Lonchura striata: one gene and its partners. The main gene of each other region encodes a partner of the protein of the gene in region 2 in a complex. Links are inferred from orthologs where the notes say so. Each region holds a gene or a part of one and is shown on either strand. Other genes may lie near its edges.

Region 1 (7,978 bases), on a different chromosome or scaffold from region 2:
TTAACTAAGGATGGTGATTGTCTAATGTACAGCTGAACTGTTTGACTCCAAAGCCATTTTGCAGGAAAAGAGAAATGATTCTTTAATAATTGTATACTAGCACATACTTAACATAATCCCTGATTTTAAGGATATGGCTTCCGGCTTCAGAGAACATGTAGGGTAGGTTTTACCTATGCAGGAACCTAGTAGTGAAAAAGGTATGAAAAACTTAGATAATGCCAAAAAGAGAGGAGCAGAAAATCAGTTTCCATTGAAACAAGTTGACAGACATTCCGCAGAGGATGCCTCCAGAAGTTACAAACCTATCACAGTTACCAAACTGAGAAATATTTAACAGTTTCAGTACTGATAGCTTCAAACAAATTTTAGAATATTTTAGGAATCAAAGAGCTACCAGAGTGGATGCTTCCACCTCTTCCAAACAAAATGAATGCTTATTCACAGCAGTTATTTCACTTAGTGATTCACAAACTGTAGAGCTAACTGCCTCAAGCAGATACAAAAAAAATTTAAAGAGGAAAAAATTGAAGATGTTCTACTTCAAGGTTAAGGCATTACAAAAATACCTGCAGGTCAACAGGAACAAAGGAATGTTTCATACAGTTTTGAAACCACTCTTCCTGAGTTTGCTTTGTGAAGAGCAGTCAAGCAGCAATAATGTTTAAACAGAGCTCCCCTAGGTGATGACTACTGTTGTATAGGAACAGTCTGTCTTTGCTGCAGCTGTTTGCTTAAAAAAACTAAAGCTTTATATTACATGATATAAAGAGTATTCTAGGACATGGCAAACAGTCCCAAGAAAATGAACCTATCAGAAGATTGGTATGGAGAGACACTACTCAAAAAACATAAATGGAAAAGAGAGCAGGTTAGAACAAATGATTCTGAAGTAAAAACCTATGTTCTCTAAATTTAGCAGTTTCAGATTTAAACAATACACTCAATACTTTAACATCGAACATTTAGAGTTCAGCAGTTATTTTAAACAGCAAGCCAATAAGAAAGGACTCCCCTAATGATTATTTTGTGCAGGGGTTTTGGTTGCTAAGGAAAACAGTGTTTTCCTGATGCGAATAATTTTTCTAGAAGACAAATATTCATTAATCAGTACACACTGCAGACAGTTTATGTCTTCAAGTAACCAAGACCTTAGTGCTTATTCTTAGAATGTCAAGCAACTCAAGCACTTATTTATGCTTTAGACTGATAGAAGGAATTCAGGTCTGGGCTACTAACTTTCCATATCCAGAACAGATAACTTTCTTTTAAGACAGGAGAAACAGGAGAAACTTGAAAACTGTTGGTGTGGGACGCAGGAGGAAAGATAATTTGTACCAACCCAGGCAGCAGAGGTGTTCAGGTCTACAGGTTTTGTAGGCACACGTCTGGGATTCTCAGCCAAATGCAGTGGAGCTTCATAACAATGGATGGGTCCTGCCCGTGGTTTCTCAAGGAAAATCAGCTCTGCCTTCCTGGCCTTGTGGGTACACTTCTTCTTTGGAGGCATCAAAAGGTGTGGTAAAACTACTTAGAAACCTCATGATGCTTGTTGGAGCCAATTGAAGAAAGATGGAAGCACCCTGAGGAGATGCGAAAGTGCTCTCAAATCTGTAGAAGCAAATAAATGGATTTGAAGACAGACTCATTTGGAAACCTCAGATGCAGTTTTTAACAAAAGCAAAACATTTATGCAACAGCACAGTGTATACATCTTGAGGCAGACTTTTTCCCAATAGTGGTTCTTGGGCCTTTTGTTAATTTTCAGGTAGATTTAGAAATGCACTGCAGGAAGGGAAGCTGTTGACCTACTGATACAGCTATGAAAAGAACAAGTCAGCTATGAAAAGAACAAAAAAGCCAAAAAATTTATTTTCTTTTTTTCAATTCAGTCTTGTTTGTAATGCCAAGAAGATATTGTAAGGCTAAGATAATCAGAACTCTTTCCCTTTCTGGTTGCTAACTACCTGTGTGTTTTTAATTTCAAGGGATTTTAAGTTTGTTTTTTTCTTTTTTACAAAACAGAGTTGACATCTCCCGTATTCTACAGATCTTGCATGATTTGTTTTGCCTAATGAATAAGTTTGAACTGAAGTAACATTGTATTTAATTTTCTATTGGAAAACACAGACTCAATTAGGTTGGAAGACCTCTGAAATCATCAAATTCAACCTATAGCCAAACACCACCATGGCTACTAAACCATGGCCCAAGTGCTACATCTTCAGGGACAGGGACTCTACTTCCCTAGCCCATTCGCCTGTCTTCACCTTTCCTGTGAAGAACTTCTTCCTAATGCCCAACTTAAACCTCCCCTGGTGCAGCTTCGGATGATGTCCCCTTGTTCCATCACTAGGTGCTTGAGAGGTGCTTGAGAGAACATGTAGGGTAGGTTTTACCTATGCAGGAACCTAGTAGTGAAAAAGGTATGAAAAACTTAGATAATGCCAAAAAGAGAGGAGCAGAAAATCAGTTTCCATTGAAACAAGTTGACAGACATTCTGCAGAGGATGCCTCCAGAAGTTACAAACCCCACCTGGCCACAGCCTCCTTTCAAGCCCTTGTAGAGAGCGCTAAGGTCCCCCCTGAGCCTCCTTTTCTGCAGGCTGAACACCCCCAGCTCCCTCAGCCACTCCTCGTGGGACTTGTGCTCCAGACCAGCTCTGCTGTCCTTCTCGGGTCCCACTCCCGCACCTCAGTGTCCTGCCTGAACCGGGCGCTGCACTCCGAGTGCCCCAGCAGTGCCGAGGAGAGAGGAACGGTCCCTGTCCCGGCCCTGCTGGCCGCGCTGTTGCTGACACAGGCCAGGTGCCACTGGCCCTCTTGGCCACCTGGGCACAACTATGTTCACCTACCTGACTTACCATAGATCAGCACAGACAAGAAAACGTGACAACATTTCTGAGAAACGCATGAGACTGACACAGCCTGACGGCTTACCTAAGCGGCACCGTGCCCGAGGGTCCTGCGGGCCCCTCTAGCCCGGCGCGGCCGTGACACACACGTTAAACGGCAAAACCCCGCAGCTCTTCACCAGGCGCCAGCGCGCCGCCGGCGGCGCGGGCGCACGGCGGGGCTCCCGGCCGCGGGCAGCACGGCTGAAGGAAGCTGGCGGCACTGCCGCGGCCGGGCGGGAGCGGCCGTCCCGGTACAAGCGCGGCACACCGCGGTGCCGGCGCGACGCGGGCCCGGTCCCGGTCCCGCCGCACATCCGCGCCCGCCGCCGCCGCCGCCCATTGGCCCGGGCCGGGCCCGCCCCCGCCGCCGCTCACTGGCGCAGGCCGGCACGTGACCGGGCCAGCGCCGGGCGCCAAATTCAAACCGGGCCGCTCCGAGAGCGCCGGGGCCGCCGCCCGCCCCGGCCGCGCCCCGGCCGCAGCTGGTGAGTCGCCGCCGGCGCCCCGGCTGGGGTCGGCGCCCCTCGGACGGCCGCGGTAAGGCCGCCGCGCGGCCGGGACAGGGCAGCGCCCGGGCCCGGCCCGGGGCGGAAGGCCCGGGGAGCAGCGAACCCGCCGGCCAGGGCGGCAGCGCGGGGCTGGGGTGGGTGACAGAGGAGCTGGGAGCGCCCTGGCCGTGCCCTGCCTGCCCCCGCGGGGCCGCGCCTGCACAGCCCTGCTCCCGGGCCTGGACGGGGCAGCAGATCCAGGCCTTGGGAAGGGACGCGCTCCCGTTCCTGCTCGCAGGAACGCTGCCTGTCGGAGGCTGGCTCAGGGTTCTGCTTCTGGCGCTGTCTCTCCTTAAGGGGGAGGAGCAGATCTCCAAGGGCCATGCTTGTGCCGGGTGCCAGAACCCGCGTGGAATGATCGCTGGGCTGTCTGCTCACTGTGCATAGGGCGTTAGCTCAGCTTGTTATCCGCTGGACTCTGCTTTCTATCAATGTAGGGGATTCTTACTGAGAATTTTCTCGTTTACTAGCTGACCCCGTCAAATCTAGTAATGCAAAAGGCCTCTCTTTTTTGGTATCTGTTTCTATTCTGCTTGCCATCTCTAATGACAAACAATAACTACAATTTGCATATTGTTCTGCTTTAGTTTTCAGAAAGGCACAGGTTCCACCAAATTCCTGATGGCATTATTAGCAATATTCTCATAGCATCTTACCCTGGAAGCAGTATCTCTGAATTTCATTTCCTCTGCTTCCAGCTTTATAGTCTAAACTACCTATTGTCCAAAAGTTTGACATCTAAATTGTATGCTACCCAATGATGAATTTATGTGATTCTTAACAAATACAAAAGGAATTAGAAGCACATTTACTTGGTGTCTAGCTTAAAGCACCTTACTTCTGCTGCATTTATTATGTGCTTTTGTAGTGTTCAGGGTAATCTCTGCTTCCCAGATCTTAAACCATCTGTAAATTCCCTTTTCACACAGGTTATATAATCTGCTGCTTAGAGCAATCAGCTATAAGAATCAGCACTGCTGTTTCTATATTCCGCCTCCCCTGCAGCTTGCTGGCTGACATGGTCAAATTGCCCTACAGCTAAGTCTTTTTGTAAAGCACATACACACTTTGCTCATTATTATGTACTTTATGATGCACATTATCTACTCTGCAACTCTCTCATCCTGCTTACACAAAGTGTGGATTAGGGAGGTACAGTATGATTTTTCAGTAGCCTTGTCTGCCTTATTAAATGCTTCTAATTTTAATTTTCCTTTTGCATTTCTAGCTTTGTAGCAACTGCAACTGCTGAGAATGTGTGCTCTGTGGGAGGTCTTGAGATGATTTGCTGCACCCTTTATGTTGTACCTTTTGTTTTGCAGGATTTGTTTCTCTCCCTTTCAATGGAGAGTGACAGTATAGATCAATAATGAGGACCAGCCCTCGCAGGCCCTTAATTCTCAAAAGACGAAAACTGACCCTCCCACAGAATGGTGAATCCAGTACTTCAGCAAGAGATGAGAAGAGAGGTCAGGATGAAAAGGCTCCTAAGCAGGAGCACAGGCAGGAAGACCAACACAACAGACAACCCAGAGACAAAAGGGACGGTGGCCTGCAGAAATTCCCAGCAGGAATAAAGATAATTGACCATCCTACAATGCCCAACACACAGGTGGTGGCCATCCCTACAAATGCTGATATCCAGAGCATTATAGAGGCATTGACAGCAAAAGGAAAAGAATGTGGCAACAATGGACCAAATAAGTTCATTCTCATTAGCAGTGGGGGCACATCCCGTTCAGCAGGTCCAGCACCATCGCAGCATCTCCCATCAGAGAAGAAAGCCAGTGCAGGCAACAGGGCTGCAGTTATTCAAGAAAGAGAGAAGAATGTTGCACAGACATCTGGTCTTGCAGGTAGTACAGAGCTCTGGCATTCAGGAGTTGGTCCTGTGGTTGGACAGGGACAGTATGTAGCCTTTACCTGTTTGTTTTTTTTTTGTCCTGACAGACAAAGAGATGTGAAATGGGCCAAGGAGTGCAGCACTTGCATCTTGGTTTGCAGTAATTATTAATATTTTGTTAATTACAAAATACCTATGGATTGGATTCTAATAATGTACCTAGCTTTGCATATGTAGTGAAATCTGAAGGATTATAGTGGACATATTTTTTGGTGGAAGACATCTGTGCTTCTGATTTAAGTTTTGTGCTAAATCTTTCTATTTCTTGAAGTACTTGATCAACATTGTCCTGTTTTGGTTGACAATAGCCTGGTTTGAGTGTTTATTTTTAGAGCCTGCAGCTCTTTTCAGAAATTGGGCAACTACAGGAATCAAAATCAGGAATTCAAGATGAATTCCTTCCACAATACTAGTGTTGCAATACCATCTTTTAGAAGTGTGACTGGTGCCTTCCTTTTGACAGCTGTGATGAAGGAGTAGCAGGGTTACTTGTGAGAAAGCAGAGTTATGGCGAGGGGAAGGCTGTGTCTGTAGCCCACCTGGGCTTCAGTAAAGCCTTTCACACTGTCTCCTACAGCATTTTTCTGGAAAAGCTGGCAGCCATGGCTTGGTCAGGTTCACTCTTGACTGGATTAAAACTGGCTGGATGGCTGGGCCCAGAGAGTGGTGCTGAACAGTGCTGCATCCAGCTGGTGACCAGTCACTGGTAGGGTTCCCCAGGGCTCAGAGTTGGGCCAGTCCTGCTTTTCTCTGTGTATCAGTGATCTGGATGAGGGGATCAAGAGCATCCTCAGCAAACTCACAGATGACATCAAGTTGGGTGGGAGTGTGGATCTGCTGGAGGGCAGGAGGGCTCTGGACTGGCTGGATCCATGGGTCAAGGCCAATTGCATGATGTTCAGTAAAAGCAGGTACCAGGCCCTGCAGTTGTGTTGCAAAAGCACCAGGCAGTGCTAGAAGCTGGGGGAAGAGTGTCTGGAAAACTGCCTGGCAGGAAAAGAGCCAGGACTACTGGTCAACAGCAGCCAGGAGCCAGTGTGTGCCCAGATGGCCAAGAAGACCAATGACATCCTAGCCTGTACCAGCAATACTGTGTTCAGCAGGACCAGGGGAGAGATTGTCCAGTACTCAGCACTGGTGAGGCTGCATCTTGAGTTCTTTTTTCAGTTTAGGGTCACTCATGACGGGAAAGACATTGAGGTTCTGGAGCATGTCCAGAGAAGGACAACATGGTGAAGGGTCTGGAGCACAGGTCTGATGAGGAAGAGCTGAGGGAGCTGAGGCTGTTCAGCCTGGAGGCTCAGGGGGACCTTGTCACTCTCTACAACTGCCTGAAAGGGGGTTGTAGAGCAGTGGGGGTTGCCTTCTTCTAGGCAACAAATGACAGGACAAAAGAGCATAGCCTCAAGCTGTGCCAAGGAAAGTTCAGATAGGACATAATGAAGAACCTCTTCCCTAAAAGGGTTGTCAAGCATTGGAACAGACTGTCCAGGGAGGTTTGGAGTCACCATCCCTAGAGGTATCCAAGAAACAACTGGATGCTGCAGTCAGTGCCATGGTCTCATTGATAAGAGGGTGTTTGGTCACAGGTTGGACTCAATGGTCTTGGAGGACTCTTTTAGCCTAATTTATTCTGTGATTATTATGTGGGCTTATTATCCCAACAGGCAGTGGAGAGACAATGAGTTCTGTGTTGGACAACAGTCTCACCAACATCCAGTGGCTGGGGAAGATGAGATCTGATGGGCTAAATCCCTCTTCTGTGAAGGAAGACACAGAGAAAGAGAATCAGATACCTCTGCAGGAAAGAGTCAAGGCAAGTAGGAGAATACAAGAGTGTGCTAAAACTTTTGATAAGGAGGTAATCTAGGTGGATCAGAATACTTGCAAGAATTAGGTATTGCTATCTCTAAGTAACCTGATTTTAACCTTTACTGATATGAATAGCAGAACCCAGAGGATCCAGGGATGTTCCATGGGCCTTCTTGTCAGCTTCGCGAACATTCATTCAGACTGAATCTTCTTTCTTTCAGACTGAAGAGGAAGCTGCTGCTGCTGCTATTCCTACTGCTGCTGAGTCCTCCTCATGTCAGGATTCGGTGTCAGAGCGACCTCCTTACTCCTACATGGCCATGATCCAATTTGCCATCAACAGCACGGAGAGGAAGCGCATGACCCTGAAGGACATCTATACCTGGATTGAGGATCATTTCCCTTATTTTAAACATGTAGCTAAGCCAGGTTGGAAGGTAACCAGCAGCCCTCAAGTTGCTGTGGGTGATGTTACATGCCTTCTGGATCAAAATGAAAAGTTATTCCCCAGCCTGCAAATCAAGATGGAAGCTCATTTAAACGTTCCACCCCAAATACACTCTCACTCCAGATGTTCACTGTACCACTTCTTGTATCCCTTGCCTCATCCTACTTAAACAAGATGATGGGATGTTTGAGCACTGGAGTGAGAACTGGGATCTCAAGAGTACATAGAATAAGAGACTGATGACAGGGTTGGCTGGGTACGATGTGAACATGAAAGTTTGGTGTTGTTTGCACTTTGGAATGTAATCCCTCTGCTAGGACAGCTATGTTTGAGGTGGGCCTTGCTGTGCTGATAACAAAACTGCTGGTTT
Region 2 (7,986 bases):
ACAGGGCACAAGCAAGACTTTGAAACACAAGAAAGTCTGGGGGAGTGTAGAACTGAAAGAGGAAGAACTAGGTCATGAGGTCAGGAACTCTGAACTAAAGGTATGTTATAAATAACCCCAGAGAAGTTGTCCAGATGACCCATCCCTGGAAGTGTTCAAGGCCAGGTTGAATGGGATGCCATGTTTTTTCTCAAAACTCAGAATCCCAGAATACAATAAAAGAATGCAAACTCCATCTTTATAAAGAAATGTGTGTTTTGCTCATTTAAAACTGAAGCTCAGACATGTTTGTCTGTACAATGTGAATCCAAATATTTACGATATTTGGTTGATATTGTATGAAGTTTCATTCCTTATAGTATCTACGCAGATCCTTCAGTTCTGAACAGCTTTTTTTGCTTCTTCCTCTGAATTTTGCGAAGCTTCTTCTTATCTTTAACAATTGGCTTTGATTCTGGTTTCACAAGCTGTATTTCCACTGGCTTTTCTTCAGCTGGAGTTTCAAAGACTACTTCAGTAGGATCTTCTTCAACAAGGACCTTAGTCCCTTTTTTCTTAATCATTTGCACTTCTTTCACTTGCTGCTTCTCTCTAAACTTAGCTGCCACTGACAATCTCACCAGCCGGCGATGCTATAAAAGTAAGAATTTAAATTTCATCATGTTTCAAATAAGCATGATGGAAGAAATCTGGTATTAAAGAAACTGATTTCTTTAATGCTAATTTCTCTGCTTAATGGCCAAGACCCTCAGTGTAATATCATCTTTTCAGTGACATGACTTCTGCATTCACTCCATGATTACAAAACTACTCTGCTCTCAAACTGTCACCAGTTTAGGGCACTACAAAGGGTCCTGGGGAAAGGCATAGTTGATGCTCCTGCACAGACTGACTGCAAGGCTGATTTTCAAATTAGTTGCTAAATGAAGGAGAAAACAAAAACAGAGCTGCTTACCATATTTGGGGACTGGTAATGAGGATTTTCATATAGAGTTGGTCCTCCAAAGCTACCTTGGAAGATTTTTATAAGGTTCAGGACAAAACGAGGCCCAATTTCTACTAGAGATGCATCTTCTTCTATTATCTGCAATAAAAAGAAAACTTTCTCCATTTCTCACAGATTGAATCAAAGCATATGACCTTGCAGGCACCTTGCACATAGCAATACACAACTGAATTTAAATTCAAGATAATTAGCTAGATTTGTATAAACCCAGTCCTGTACATAAAGCAGTTCCTTGAAATTCAAGCAAGCTTTTGGAGTACTCTGTATTTGTGAATTCCTTATACAGAAAATAAGCTCTTGATCGCTTTGGGTCAAAGCAGCCATTTTGCTTAAGGCATAGTTTAGGCCTTGGGTAGTATGTCCTGCTACCAAGACATCCCTCACAGAATCACAAATCAATGAATACTGGTGAATGTTCAGTGAACCAGATCTCTCCAGGCATATGGAAGAAGTCATTACAGGACACTCAATCTGCAAGCACTAGGGGCTGGCATATCCTGCTAACAATAATGATTCTTATTTTATTTAATGGATGTGATATGAAGTTACTCTGCTGACCTCCTTTAGAAGAGCTAGGAGAGACCACTCACCTGATAATTGCGAAACCAGATCCTTTCATCAGTGACAGTGAAGGTGAAAACATGGTCAACAAAAGGCTGGCTTTTGGGGTGGTACTGTGGTGTACCAAATATCTGTAATAAAAGGCAGTATTTCTGAACATCTGCAATTTAAGAAGTCATACATAGCTCGTCTTAAACTCCTTTTAATTTACTAAGTTCCCAAACCAAGGTTACACTTCATAACCCAAAACTTATGAATAAGTGTCTGAGTTGTGCTAAGAATGATCCCAATCCTTTGTGATCTTTTCAAAGTTCAGAAGTATAAAACTGCTACTTGAAAAAAAACCACTTGTGATTCTTAAGTATGTTGCCAAGAAAACATTTCCAGTGAAGAAACACTACAACTACAGACTGACCTGAATAAACAATTCTTTTAGCAGGGCATAGTGTGGCTCTCGGTCGAATAGCTACAAAAACAAAAATATTATTTTACATACAAGGCTAAATGCAATAGTCATGCAAAAAGAGTAAGAACACACCCAAATGAAATAAAGCCTATACTTACTGGATCAAAAGACAAAAGGGGTCTTGAGCCCCTTAGGCAATTTCCTGTCATCTTCAATTCAGCCAGTGTGTGAACTACAGTGATTAAAAAAAAAAGTTATTACACACAGAAAATTTTTCGGACACAACAGCAAAAATACAAACACAGTAATGTCCACCAGCTTACCATTCTGCACCAAGAATTTAGCAGATGGTCCCTGTGGCGTGTTTGAAAGCCTTCAGAGGACAAGCGGTGGGGAACAGAGAAACAAAAATGTTAACAGCAGCCAGAATTTATGTTAACAGCCAGATAGATTTCCACACTACACCCCAACCAGTTATTCCTGCATTCAAGTAGTTTCTGCTACTTTTACAGCTGTACTGTAATGTGTATGTATGCTCATAAAAACTTGTTTTCTAAACAATTTTGTAAAATGCTTCTGCGAACAATGTCCAAAGCTGTTCACTGTAAATTTCCACAATCCACAGAAGTACAATATTAGAACAAATTTAACTAAGCAGCCGTATTTCATGCATCTTCACTGTTAGAGTCGGAAACTTCAGATAGAATTGCAGCTATAAATAGAAATGTAACAAAGCAACATTTCCTTACCACATGTAGAGATCCTGTTTCTTTTTAGCTTCAAAAAAGATGCACTTATTGCAGTTTTTCATTTCACACACCTACACAAGACATATCAAATTAGTGCTTACAAACATCCTGAAGACATTTTTGATAACTTTCCACATTCATCTCTAACATTTTTTCCTTCTCCAAAATGGAAGTACAAAATAATATTGTCTTATTAAATGACATCTACTGACACCCAAAATTTGGTTTGGCTTTCTTTTTACATTTCACATACTTACTACAAGGAGTAATAACCTCCTTAAAGCTACAAACAATTTGATAATCCTATCCAGGATACAAACACAATAACATTAGGTTCTAGCTTGAGAACTGTCAATATCCTACTATATTTGGGCTGGTGGCATATATATGTCCTGCACTGTTCAAGCATAAGCTGTACTACACTTCTCACCTACACAAAAAGCACATTATGCTAAATTTCTTCATGAATAAAATCTGTATCTAATTAAAAGTTTCATTCTGGTTTTATTAACCAAAAGTCAACTTTTGGCTTTTTGGGTATCAATAATTTTCACCACTGAAGTTACACTTTGAAATCGGTTGCCCCTTTCCCTTGCATACTGAATTTCCATATAAAATAAAATAAAATAAAATAAAATGAAGAAGCACCAAGACAAATACTGAATTACCTCATTGATTACAAATAATTGGTCTTTACGGTCCATTTTAGTATCTGGAAGACAAAACCAACATTTACAAGGGTGGAAAACCAATTTAATACAAGAGATTCTTTGAACAGTCAGATGTTTTACAAAAATTGTACTAGTTTATAAATGAAAGGGTAATTACCAAGTTGTTCCTGTCACGTTATAGAACAAATAGACATAGCAACAAAACTAACTGTGCAGGTTCAGACTGAGACCATAGGATTCACTTCTCAGAAAATACTATGGTACAACAATTGCAATACTTGTTGGCTCAAAGGGTGTTTGTTTAAGATACAAGCTTCAGCAAAACTCTTCTGTACCCCATTTTAAAAAAATAAAAGAACAGATCATTTAGAGCTTTTAGCTTTAAAGTAGTGTCAAAATATAAGTTAGGAATGATGTTCAAACCCCACCTGCTTTAGAGTGAGGCATCAATGTCCTTAAGTCCTGCATTAGGTGTCTTGTTCTGAAATTAATTCCACGAGAGGAGAATATCAGCACTCGCTCCTTGTTCTTCCATTTGCCCTAGGAAAAAAAGGCACAATAGTCACGTGGGAAGCTTCCAGCCTTAATAATGTCATAACGCAGCAAAATAAAAGTTTGGACAGTCAATACAGAAAGACACAGCAAGAACCTTGGTTTTGATCTGCCCACGCAGACAGGAACCACGCTCTCTTTAAGAGTGAACTTCCCTACAGCACGGGGGGCACTGCTTTTACAGGAGGAACCGTCCTCATCCTGATCCACGGCGTGCTCCCAGGCACATCCTTTCACTCCCATCCAACTACTAAAAAGCCACACGTGCATCGCTTATTTTCCTGCAAAATGGGCTCAGGGACAGCCCCAGAGCACAGCCCAGCTTCTCCTGTCGACGGGCGTATTGTGAAATCTTTGTGTTTACGCGCAGTATTCCACGTTTTTCCTACAAGCAAACAATTACGGAAACCTTCTCTGTATGATTCCTAAACGGAACAAGTACAGTTTCCATACAGCTTCAGTATACAACAGAATTACCCAATTCTTTCAAATACTTTTGAGACTGAGGTAACACATCTTACCGACATGGACCAGGCTAACGCTTCTCGCGTACAGAAAAAAACGCGCCACCACGTGTACTGTTAGTTGTGATGGTATTATAAGAGATTACGAATAACCCTCCCTGTCACGGCTTGGCCGCGTTCCCTCAGGCCCCCCGAGCCCGGGCCGAGCGGCGGTACCTGGGACACGGGCGGCGGGATGCGGTATTCCTGCGGCGGGATGCGGTTTTCCTGCGGCGGGATGCGGTATTCCTGCGGCGGGGCGCTGCGCTCCCCAGGGCCGCCCCCCGGCGCCGCCTCGCCCGCGCTCGGGGCGCTCCTGGCGCGCTTCGCCTTCCCCCCGGCCGGCGCTCCACGTTGTCTCTTGGCCGCCATCTGTCCCCACGCCATATCTCGCCGGTGTCCGCCCACTCCGCTTCCTGTGTCGCGTTTCCTGTGCTCCCGCCTTCCCGGTGCCGCTCTCCGCCCCCCGTGCTGCCGCCTCCTCGGGCCCGGCCATGCCGTTCTCGGCACAGCCGCCCGCCAGCGGCGAGCGCTGCGCGCTGTCCGCCAGCCTGGACAATGCCCGGCACCTGTCCAGCCTCCTGCGGGCCGTGCACTTCCAGGACTACGCCACCTGCCTCGCCACGGCCAGCGGGCTGCGCGTGACCGTGGAGGATGCCAAGTGTATCCAGGCCAACGCCTTCATCCAGGTACGGGGACACCGGCGACGGGGAGGGCGCGGCTGCCGCAGCCCGGGAGGACAAGGAGTCTCTGGATAGGGTCCGCCGGAGGCTGCAAAGGTGATTAAAGGACCGGAGCATCTCTGTTGTGAGGAGAGCTGGGTCTATTTAGTCTGGAAAAGAGCGGACTGAGAGTCTCACCAATGCATATAAATATCTCAAAGATGGGTGCCAAGAAGATGCTGCCGGACTCCTTTTTGTGGTGACCAGTGGCAGGAAGGAGAGCAATGGGCATAAAGTAAACCACCACCAAGTTTCACCTCAACACCAGGAAGAACTTCTTTACAGTTAGGGTGGTAGAGCACTGGAACAGAATGCCAGGGAGGTATTGGAGTTTCCCTCTCTGGAAATATTCAAACCCTGCCTGGATGTGTGCCGTGTCACTTCCTCCAGGTGACTCTGCCTTGACAGAGGGTTTGGACTGGATAATCTTTAGAGGTCCCTTAACCCTAACAATTCCATGTGCTCACCTGTGGAAAAGGGGAGACGTTGCTGGAACCGAGGCAGAGGTGCCTGGCTGTAGGAAGGACCGTGGTGAGTCTGCCCCTGTTTGTGGGTGTCCATGCTGCTGGAATTCCAAACCCGGCACCAGTACATCCCTGAACACGTAACAGTGTAGTGGGTTTGCGCCCTCATCTAATATATTGGTGCCTGCCAAACTCATGCTCCTTCTGGTTGTGCTGTTCTTAGTTGCACAAGCAAGTGCTCACTGTACCTCTCTTTTTATAGCTCATCCCAAAGCTAAAAGATTGGATTTTTGTCAACTGTGAAAGAGTACAGATTCACAGACACTTGATTGAAGATGGTTGTGCTGTGTTCAAAGCACCTCAGGATGCAGTTTTCTCTCTGGGCAGCCAGGAGAATATGAAATTACTTTTCCAAAAGCACCTCATGCCACCTTGCTTTATTTCTGAGATACTCTGTTCTCGTAGGTGCAACAAGCAGTGAGTACCAGTGACAGACAGCACAGCATAGAGCAGTTTATCCCCATCAGGCTAGTCAAAGGCAGGATTCAGCACATATTTCAGAGTGGTGAAGTCACTGTTCTGTTCTTAAGTACTAGTATTTGGAATGTTTATTCATGCTCTGAGCATAAAAAATATGAGTATTGTCACTGTAGAAATGTGACACATTGTACAGTTCCATGAATATTTCTAGCTCCAGAAGTAAGCAGCTCTAGGTTTTACCATTTGTAGGTTGTACTTAAACCATAAGAGACAAGTATTTAGGTTTCACGTTTATGCCATTTTACCTTGTTTCAAATGTAGTTTGGTTGTGTTTTCCTAGTTTTGAGGATGAAGCCCCATTTTTCTACAATCAATGTTGTGTTGCATGTAGAAATCATTTTGTGTTGTACTGATTTCTGGATGGGAAATCCTGAAGTTTAAGCTGTAAAATAATTGCAGAAACTCCCAACTTTTCATATTTTTGCTTTAATTTACAGGCAGAAATTTTTCAGGAATTCTCTGTTCAGGAGGAATCAGTGATGTTCCGGATCAGTTTGTCAGTTCTTCTGGACTGCCTCACCATTTTTGGATCCAGCTCCTTGCCAGGTGTGGTATATTTCCATGAATCCACAGAAGGTTGTGCTGGCACTGCAGGATGTGTATTCACATGGCATGGAGTGATACCATGGCAGCTTTCTGGACAGTTCTGCTCTTGCAGCTCTGTGTTGTACTCCTCACTCCCCTGCAGTTTTGGTTGTGGATGACCTAAAGATCCAAATCGAGTGTGCTAAAGAGCACTGTGGTTTTAGGAAACCGGAGGTTCAGGTGGTGATAACCTGCAACAAGAGGGTGTGACTGCAGCACAAGCTCAGCTGCTTTAACTTCAGTTTAGGTTGCACAAGTAACAAGAGTAGTAAGGAAAGATGATGTGAGCCAGAGAACCACAGGGCCATGAGGATTTTCCAATTCCTCTAAACTGTTTGTAGTGCGTCTTAATTGTCAGAGCTGGTGGGTGAAATTATTTGGCTTTAAGTTGTCTACACACAAGTAATTTAATTTTACTGCATACCCATTAGCATTTCAGAGGGTATCTAGGAGGCAGCACTAAAATTGATCTGTGGCCTGTGTGCCAGAAAAATGTGAGTTTTCTAAAGTGATCGAATGTTCTTGCTATGGTCTCTGCAGAATGTATGTTTTACTCTCTTTTTCAGGAGCATCAACGGCCCTTAGAATGTGTTATCGTGGTTATGGCTATCCACTGATGCTGTTCTTGGAAGAAGGAGGAGTAGTAACAGTATGCAAAATCAACACTCAAGAGCCTGAGGAATTGTTAGATTTTGATTTCTGCAGTACAAAGGTTGTTAATAAAATTATCCTGCAGTCAGAGGGACTACGAGAAGCATTTGCTGAACTGGATATGACCAGTGAAGTTCTGCAGATTACCATGTCTCCAGATAAACCCTACTTCAGGTACTAAAAATGGCTTTCAACTCAAATGTTTGTGCTTGGCTGCCTTTGGTGAGGAGTGGAAATTTTCACGGTGGAGAGAGGGGAGCTATTTTAGAATACCAGTTCATTTCAGGAAGAATTATAATGAGTATAGTAAATCACAGTATGTTCTCTAATTAACATAGTAATGAGTATTTTGACAGCCTGGTAAATGTGACACTGGTGTGGACAGTTGAGCATTTTTGATTGAATAAAGTGAAACAAACAGCAGAGTTTGGTAAAACAGTCATGGGATACGTACAGTGACTAATTTTAATGAGTTTTTACAGAGTTCTCATCAGGCGTTTTGAGATCGTGCTTTTTGTCTTCCAGGTTATCCACTTTTGGAAATGCTGGAAGTGCACATCTAGACTACCCTAGGGA
Region 3 (7,990 bases), on a different chromosome or scaffold from region 2:
CTCAAAATAAGATAATGTGGCTGCACTAGTTTAGGCAACATGTTATGTCCCTCATGAAATAACATCTGTAGAAAGCATGCTTTAAGTGCCTTAACTTACAATGAAATTGCTGAGATTCTTCATTCTTTCCACAACACTCTTCATTGTTTTCAGCACTGGTAAGTAAATACTGACCTAGGAATACATAAGAACTGCATTTGCACAAGTATTTCAGATGTGATTGGGACACATTGATTTCTACTTTCAATTTTATCATAGTTTGGACAGTGTTATCTATGGCATTCAGGGTGCACAAAATCTATCTGAAATCAGCAAATGTCTCAGGAACAGAGGAACTCTTTCCCATTATACCAACAAGCCATCAGTCTAGCAATCATTCCAGACATAATATTCCAAGTCTATGTTCAAAATAGAGGCATGTTTTTGCAGATCACGCTTTCACATGAACTATCTATGTTATCAAATAGTCAATTACTATAGCCAAAAAGAAAATAACAAGATTCCTATGATACTGCAGTAATTACTGGAAATGTAATTATTGCAACCAGTGTAAATCTAAAATAAAAGAACAAAATATTAAAAGTTTTTTCAATATGTCAAGATTCTGTATGTCTTCAGAATCTAAATACTCTTAGCTATAGAGGTAACAGACATCTGTAATCTCTAATAGGAGCATATTTGTTTAAGGACCTTTCCTTACAATTTTGCTAAGAGTTAAAACCAGGAGGAAACACCTATATCTCTAACTCTGCCAGATAGGCCATAAATTTCAGAAAGAATAGATATTTGGGCCATTCAGCACCTGAACAGCTGAAACAGTCTAAACTTGTCTGGTTTAGAGGTGCTCCAGACTAAAGCTAAGCAAGTCCTTTTCTCCTCCCTTCCTCTGCCATGAACATCACAGAAGCAATTGGCAATCACCCACTCTGTTTCCATAGGTTCTGGGCTCTCTTGTCAGGATTGAAGCCATGTTCCATACCCCCCCCCCCAAAAAAAAAACCTGTAGCCTCCAGTCGTTCCTCTTTCCTTTCAACTCCTTTCCAAACCCCACCAGTAATATAATCTATAGCAATATCGTTCCACTTGCAAGCTCCTCTTTCAGAAGGGAAAATAAAAGCAGAGGCTTACATCAAAGTCTGGCACGCTGGGTTCTCTGAAGTCATTCCACATTCTTCTGGGAATAACTCCCACAGGAATGTCATGTGTCACAATCCTACTGCTGCTTGGTAAGGATGGCTTCAGGGAAAAAAAGGATGCTCTTGCAGTTAAACACAAGATTGGAATTCTAAATTTAAATTTTTCAGACCCACTCTAGGAAATGCTATAACTACATGCCTGAAACTCAGTTCATTTTCCCTCAGCTCCTATCAATATGCTTTAAAGTGGGCTTCCCTTTCAAATGAGGAAGAGTTTGTGATGTATCAGTCATTAGTGTACCTATAAGCTATCCAAAGAGCTGAAGAAGTGAATCAGCAGAGTTAACAATAAAAGAATCAGAAGTCAGCATACAATATCAGGAAAACCAAAGGCAAAACACAGAGCCAAACACTGAAACCTCCTTCATCTAATGGCTTCAATGAAAAGGCAATAATCCACAGAAGATACAGAGGATGAAGGAAGGTAGAAAAGTAGACATTAGAAAAACTTGTTTCAATAACACAGCATTCTTCCTCCACCTCCTCCTTGCTTTTTGGAAAATATAAATCTGGTTCTGTATGCTACCAACCATGATGGCAAGAAAGGTTAGTGAAAGGGAAAATGGCACAATGCTTCTTTAGTTTTCTAGAATTACACCAAATATTACCCTTTGATCTTAGGAAATGCACTGAATTTTAAATAATGAACATGAAAGCATGGTTGAACTTACTAGCTCCACAGCAACTCTGAGACAGGGACAGTGTTTATTAGTCAACTTGATCTTCACTGCCTTAGCACTCTGGGCAGTTTTTAATGCTCTTGACAGGTTCTCAGGCACAAACTCTAGATAGATTTCATTGTGTTCTGCAGCTACTCCTTCCATCTGAAATTCATCGAAGAAATTCCCCTACAATTTTTGAAAGTCGGGAAACAAAGCAAATAAGAGAGGCAAGTTTTATTTATCGGACCTTAAACTTAGAACTGCATTTGTACACCAGAAACTCCCCTCTGCCTCACATCACCTGAGGAATCACAACCATGAAAATTCATTGCTTCAGGCTAAACCAATTAACGTACTCCCCTAACACCTTATCAGTCTATTAGACAGTGAGTTATGCTTTCCCGTTTCCAGTTTTGGGCAGGCCCATGTGAGCCAGCACACACTGAAGCTTTACACTGAAGTGACTACCAAGGAAAAAAGGAATATCCTACCTGAAACACCTGCAACCAGACAGACCCTGAGAGACCTAGCAGATCGAAGGTGAGGGCTACAAGAAATGCCTCATACGTCAAACCCAATTACATGCTCTGGTTTTCAAAATGTGGTCACTGAACTTTCCTGGGCTCACCTGGCTCAGCTCACACCACAGACTGGCGCCTCCATTTGCTACTTTATCGGAGAGGATGAAATACAGCTTGGAGACAGTAAGGCGCAGGATGCAGGTCTTGGCTAACTTGGCGACAGTGTTAATTATACCTGCCGGAGGAAGGGAGGGAGGAGACGTCACACAGCGATCGCTCCACGCACCCCCGTCTCTGCGGGACGGAAAAACCTTCAGCTTTCACAAACGCAGCTCGTGCTCTTTCGCAAACTCCTAAACACCTCGGGGCGAAGGAAAGCGCCTCATGCCACGTCCTCCCAGGAAAGCAGGCGGTCCTCGCCTCCCTTCCTCTTTTCTTAGCCCGAGAAAGCCGGCCCCAGGTGCTCGGCGAGGCACTGCCGCCCTTCAGCCTGGCCCGGCATACTCACGGCTGAAGTGGCTGAGGCAGGCGACATCCACGATCTTTGCCCGAAATCGCATGGCGCCGCGGTCCCGCCCGGGCGGGCAGGGAGAGGCCTCGCCAAAGCCAGCCCCGCAGCGCGGCGGGGCTGGGCAGCGCCCGGGCGGGCAGGGAGAGGCCTCGCCAAAGCCAGCGCGGGACTGGGCAGCGCCCGGGCGGGCAGGGAGGGGCCTCGCCAAAGCCAGCGCGGGACTGGGCAGCGCCGGGGCTGGGCAGCGCCCGGGCGGGCAGGGAGAGGCCTCGCCAAAGCCAGCCCCGCAGCGCGGCGGGATTGCGCAGCGCCCGGGCGGGCGGGCCGACTTCCTTCCGCCGCGGCAGCAGTCGGCGCAGCCTGGGCTGAAAAGCTTAGGCCGAAAATGCCTTGGGACCCCCGGAATGTACGTGAAGATTCGTCTGTGTGGGTCGCAGTCCCGATGTCTCGAGAAATTTCTTTTTCAAATCCAAGGGGGCCCTTGCAGCAGACCCATCAGCCGCTGGCAGGGGCATAGCCCCGACGCTGCCGCACAGGACGCGGTGGTGAGGAAGGAAAGCAACAGTCGTGATGGAAAGGGGAGCGAACAGCTTCGTGAGGGGCCTTTTCACTGCCCCAGTTTTACCAGCCCACCCAGAAAGGGCTGGGCAGCCGAAAGTGTTTTGAGAAAGATACTCTCTGTCAGACCGGGTGCCTCCTGTAGCCAGGCTCCCAGCTTAATGCATGGTGCACAGGGGTTTATGCCAAGGCTGGAATTGTTCAAGGAAATAGAAAGTGAAGGAAAACTGCTTTACCTAGTCAATGTGGAGCATGCCTGTTTTCTATAGACGGTGTCCTTTGCCTTAATGGTTTTAGTTCCTTGCAGTACTTCAAAGCTACAGCATTTGCAGAGACAGTTTTCTAGTGGTGTTCTTTTTTTGTCTGTCAGGATTGTCTGGTGTTCTTTTGTCACATTGCAAGTTCCCCAAATCAGCTAAATTGCCTCTCTAATATTTAATTTTGAAATATTCTTGGAGTGCTGCTCACATGCCTTGATTCTCTCTTTCTATACAGTCATTATGAAGAAAATGAAAAATAACCTTGGGTCTGCCTAATGACAGATACAGCAATAGTTTCTGGAGAGGTTATCCTCTGCTTGTATTGCTCTTAGACCTTGTAAATTTTGTAGAAATAAGCTGAAGAGTTTCCCAGAGAAACCAGTGCAGCAGGGCGTCACAAATTCTCATCTAGGATCCTGTCAACTATACCGATTTGTCACAAATATAGGGTTTAGGGTCACTCAAAGAATCATCATGAAAGGTATTAGCAAAAGTGGGGTTAATATACATATATTAAAGTGTGACATAAAGCTCAATGACAAGATTCACTTCATCATGGATGAAACATACAAAGAAAAATCTAATTAGAATAATTTTAGAATTATTTACAATGAGACCAAAGACAAAAAAAGAATAAAGAAGACTCTCCTGTTGAATCACAAGTTCAGAGTAGATCCTCTTGCTTTCTAAACTCCTCACAGAGCTTAGGTGCAGCTTGGTACAATCTTAGCTTCAGACTTGGACAATAGTTTACACCTAACAGAATTATCTCCAACTTTTTCATTAAATACTGGTGCATTTGCCTTTTGTTTTATGAAACATGGCTGCAGAAGATAAAACCCTAATGATGTGAAATCCCACACACTAAACTTTGCAGTTTGTTGTGGCGCGGCAGGCACTCCCCTTGCTGCGGCACCCCGAGCGGTGCCGTGCTGGGCTGCGAGAGGGAAGAGAACAGGCGGCCGCTCCCCCTGCGAAGCTCTGCTGTCCCAGTTGGTGGCGCGGGGACAGACGAAGGCGACACGGGACTTGGGGGTGAACAGGATGGTTTTATTCAGTGAGCCCCAAGACCTCTTCAGGAGCGGGAGCAGAGGTTTTATACAAGAATTCAGGAGGAGGGGTATAGGAACAGCAACCAATGAGGGAATAGCAGGGGAGGAGTTTAGGGCAGAATTAACCCATCACAAACCTATCAGGGGGAGCAGGGAAGTGAAATAACACAAAATAAGCAATAGGGTTTCAGGGAATGCTCTGGAAGCAGAGGAGGGGGCTAGGATGAATGACAGAGAAGGTTCCAGGGAAAGGAGCAGGGAAAGGGAGGATTGACAACTTGGAGATGAGGGGGTTAGGGGAGAGCTAGGGAATACTGACAACTGGGGAGAGGAGGAGATTAGGGATTGGGGGGGGGGGGGGGGGGGGGAAAGGGGAAACAGATATTGAACAAAAATCAAATTAAAGACACACCACCGCAGCAGTTTAACACACTTTACATCTTTCACAGACATAATTGCAGACTGCTTTTAGTGAAATGATTGCTACATGAATGTTAAGCAGGAATTTGCAGAAGGAAGATTGATCTGAACCCTTTTCAAGCTGTGGCATCGTGATACATGTGGATTGCATAAAGTTTAACAGATCCACATCATTTGCCTTTTCTGCCTTTGACTGGTTTTACCATGGCCAAATGCCAGGCACCCATGAAAGTCACTCACTCACTCTCTGCCACAGCTGGGCAGAGAGAAAAAATTAATGAAGAGCTCATGAGTTGAGATAAGGACTGGGAGAAGACACTCCAAGGGCAAAACAGGCTCAACTTGGAGGTACAAAGTAGATTTAATACTAATAAAATCAGAGGAGGATAATGAGAAGTACAATAAGCTCTTAAAAACATCTTCCCTCAAACCCTCTTTCCTTCCCACTGACAGTGTAGGGAGACAGGGCATGGGGGGTTTTGGTCAGTTTGTCACCTGAAATCTACTGCTCAGGGAGAGGGGCCCTTCCCCTGTGAGATTGTGGGGTCCCTCCCACAGGACACAGTTCTTTATGAACTTCTGCAGCGGAGGTCTACTCTCACGAGCAGCAGTCCTCCCAAAACTGCTGCAGCATGGGGCACTCTTCCATATGGTGCAGTCCTCCAAGGACAGGCTGCACCATCCTTGAAGCTGGTGCCCCCTCTCCCCATTGACTCTTCCACTGGATCACAGCTTTCTCCAGGCATCCACCTGCCCTGGCACAGGCACCTCCCCAACAGGCTACAAATGGATCTCTGCAACCCCTGTGGATCTGCATGGCCTGCACAGGAATCTCGGCTCCAGTGCCTGGATCACCTCCTCCCCCTCCATTTTCACTGACTTTGGTGTCTCCATGTTATTTCCTTCACATATTCTCACCTTCTTGTCTTCTCTAGCTGGAATTCAAACTGTGCCACCACTTTGTTTTTATTTACTTCTTAAATATGTTATCACAGAAGCATTACCATAATTTCTAATTGGCCCAGCCTTGGCCAGTGGTATGTCTGTCTTCAGAGCCATCAGAGATTCGTTCCGCTGGACATGGTGGAAGCTTCTAACAGCTTTTCACAGAAGCCACCTCCGTGGCCTCCCCACTACCAAAACCCAGGCCATACAAAACCAACACATCTGGACAGAAGTTTGTTCTCTAGCTTGTTTTCTAGATATGGTCCATTGCTAACATTGCTTTATAACCTCTGAAGATTAAGCCTCAATGAGAAGACAGACTATGTATACAAAAAATTTCCATTGCTTGCCCTAAATAATAAAAGTGGGGAATTAATAACCAAGATGGGCATCAGAAATAAATTACTATATGCCACATATACACCCAGAAGTCTGGAAAAAAAAAAGGCTTTATATTGCTCTGTGCTCTCATCACACTTGACTGACAGGCTCTACTTCAGGGTTTCAGGCCAGGCAGGAGCCATTTATTACTATGGCTGTAGGAGAGAAGGCAGATAAATGGGGGTTCAGCTCTGTCTTGGTTTGAAAAGACAGGAGTTTGTGAAGGAAGGCAAGAGCCTCCTGTGAAATGGAAAAGGTAAACCCCCTCCCTCCAAATTACCACAGTTTCAAAATTTCAGTGTCTCCCTGGAGGGAGACATTGTTCTTGGAAGAGATAAGAAAACTGCCCAACCTCCAACAGATGGCAAATAGAATACGTGCTTATCTTATTAGCCAGGACAAGCTCTCTATCCATACTGGCTTAAAACAGAAGTGCTAGGGTATATCACATTTACAGCAGAGAGAGACAGCTTTGTGGAGGAACCTTGATATGGCAAAGCAGCACTGAGAGAGTAGGAAAACTGTCACAGCAGTTGTACCCCTCTTCTCCTAATAACTCAGAACCTTTGTGCTGTCTGTGGATCTTCTCAGCCTGTCATCCTCTTGCTCCTCCTCCTTCATAAGGAGTATGAAAACTACTCTAATTTTTTTAACATATGTAGGGATCAGGTCTTCAAGTGAGGCTTGCTTTTGGGCCAATATTCCAGCAGTTATGAAGCTGACTACTAATAGTGAAGCATAGAAGCAGTGAGCAATTTGTCCTTAAAATACTGTGATTAAAAAAACACCCCCAAACAAAACCCAAACAGGTTACTGCCTGTGCATTCAATAATGAATCCATCATCATCCAGCAAATTAGAGAGATCCAGTTAGAACTCAAACTGGCAACTTCTGTGAAGGACAGTAAAAAACATTTTTATAAATACATTAATGGCAAAAGGAAGGGCAAGGACAACCTCCATTCTCTATCAGATGTGGGAGGGAATTTAGTAACTGAAGATAAGGAAAAGGCAGAGGTACTGAACACCTTGTCTGCCTCAGTTTTTAACAAAGAGACAGGTTGTCCTCAGGAAACTCTGTCCTCCTGAGCTGCTAGATGGTGTCAGGGAGCAGAATAGACCCCTGTTATCCAGGAGGAAGCAGTCAGAGCCTGCTGAGCCACTTAGATTCTCACAAATCTATGGGACCAGATGGAATACATCCTAATGTGATGAGCTTGCAAAGCTGTTCTCCATCATTTACCATCAGTCCTGACTCACTAGGGAGGTCCCAGAAGACTGGAAGATGGCCAGTGTGACACCCATCCACAAGAAGGGCCAGAAGGAGGATCTGGGAAACTACAGGCCAGTCAACCTGACCCTGGTACCTGGCAAGGTTATGAAGCAGATCATCCTGAGTACCTACAGGGTGGCTGGGGAATCACATGCATCTAAAGGATTGCCGGCGAATTAGACCTACCCAACATGGGTTTAGGAGGGGTAGGT

What was found.
Region 1: the proteins of RAD1 (region 2) and RHNO1 are in contact, whole or in part, in a crystal structure (PDB 6J8Y), measured with the Homo sapiens proteins. The link is inferred for Lonchura striata from reciprocal best matches to the Homo sapiens genes RAD1 and RHNO1. Residues at the interface, in NP_002844.1 of Homo sapiens: Asn47, Gly48, Ile49, Lys50, Phe64, Ile65, Gln66, Ser149, Lys155, Ile157, Glu211, Ala212, Lys240, Val241, Ser242, Arg244, Gln254, Tyr255, Met256, Phe266, Glu268; in NP_001239428.1 of Homo sapiens: Ser55, Trp56, Val57, Ser58, Pro59, Asp60, Phe61, Asp62, Thr63.
Region 3: the proteins of RAD1 (region 2) and HUS1 are in contact, whole or in part, in a crystal structure (PDB 8GNN), measured with the Homo sapiens proteins. The link is inferred for Lonchura striata from reciprocal best matches to the Homo sapiens genes RAD1 and HUS1. Residues at the interface, in NP_002844.1 of Homo sapiens: Asn85, Val88, Asp91, Cys92, Ser94, Ile95, Phe96, Gly97, Ser98, Gly127, Val128, Val129, Thr130, Val131, Cys132, Lys133, Ile134, Asn135, Gln137; in NP_004498.1 of Homo sapiens: Thr165, Ser168, Val169, Lys172, Met173, Asn175, Ile176, Glu197, Leu198, Val199, Cys200, Val201, Thr202, Thr203, His204, Phe205, Lys206.

Annotation. Positions count from the first base shown.
Region 1 is NC_134604.1:31,063,069-31,071,046, forward strand, and holds the start of RHNO1 (RAD9, HUS1, RAD1-interacting nuclear orphan protein 1), read right to left. Parts: upstream 3,076-7,978; 5' UTR 2,941-3,075; intron 2,238-2,940; exon of another isoform or gene 1,612-2,237; 5' UTR 1,511-1,611; coding exon 1,343-1,510; intron 1-1,342. Other genes in the region: forkhead box protein M1-like, read left to right, coding at 4,815-5,353, 5,812-5,958, 6,110-6,249, 7,016-7,218; forkhead box protein M1, read left to right, coding at 7,475-7,597. UniProt on the Homo sapiens protein: Involved in microhomology-mediated end-joining (MMEJ) DNA repair by promoting recruitment of polymerase theta (POLQ) to DNA damage sites during mitosis.
Region 2 is NC_134642.1:38,211,474-38,219,459, forward strand, and holds the start of RAD1 (cell cycle checkpoint protein RAD1), read left to right. Parts: upstream 1-4,892; 5' UTR 4,893-4,942; coding exon 4,943-5,137; intron 5,138-6,611; coding exon 6,612-6,720; intron 6,721-7,325; coding exon 7,326-7,584; intron 7,585-7,935; coding exon 7,936-7,986. Other genes in the region: BRIX1 (ribosome biogenesis protein BRX1 homolog), read right to left, coding at 363-632, 956-1,084, 1,597-1,698, 1,983-2,033, 2,132-2,205, 2,297-2,346, 2,723-2,793, 3,391-3,434 and 2 more. UniProt on the Homo sapiens protein: Component of the 9-1-1 cell-cycle checkpoint response complex that plays a major role in DNA repair. The 9-1-1 complex is recruited to DNA lesion upon damage by the RAD17-replication factor C (RFC) clamp loader complex.
Region 3 is NC_134603.1:83,471,915-83,479,904, forward strand, and holds the start of HUS1 (checkpoint protein HUS1), read right to left. Parts: upstream 3,039-7,990; 5' UTR 2,940-3,038; coding exon 2,888-2,939; intron 2,876-2,887; exon of another isoform or gene 2,766-2,875; coding exon of another isoform or gene 2,741-2,765; intron 2,615-2,740; coding exon 2,487-2,614; intron 2,045-2,486; coding exon 1,868-2,044; intron 1,237-1,867; coding exon 1,129-1,236; intron 175-1,128; coding exon 100-174; intron 1-99. UniProt on the Homo sapiens protein: Component of the 9-1-1 cell-cycle checkpoint response complex that plays a major role in DNA repair. The 9-1-1 complex is recruited to DNA lesion upon damage by the RAD17-replication factor C (RFC) clamp loader complex.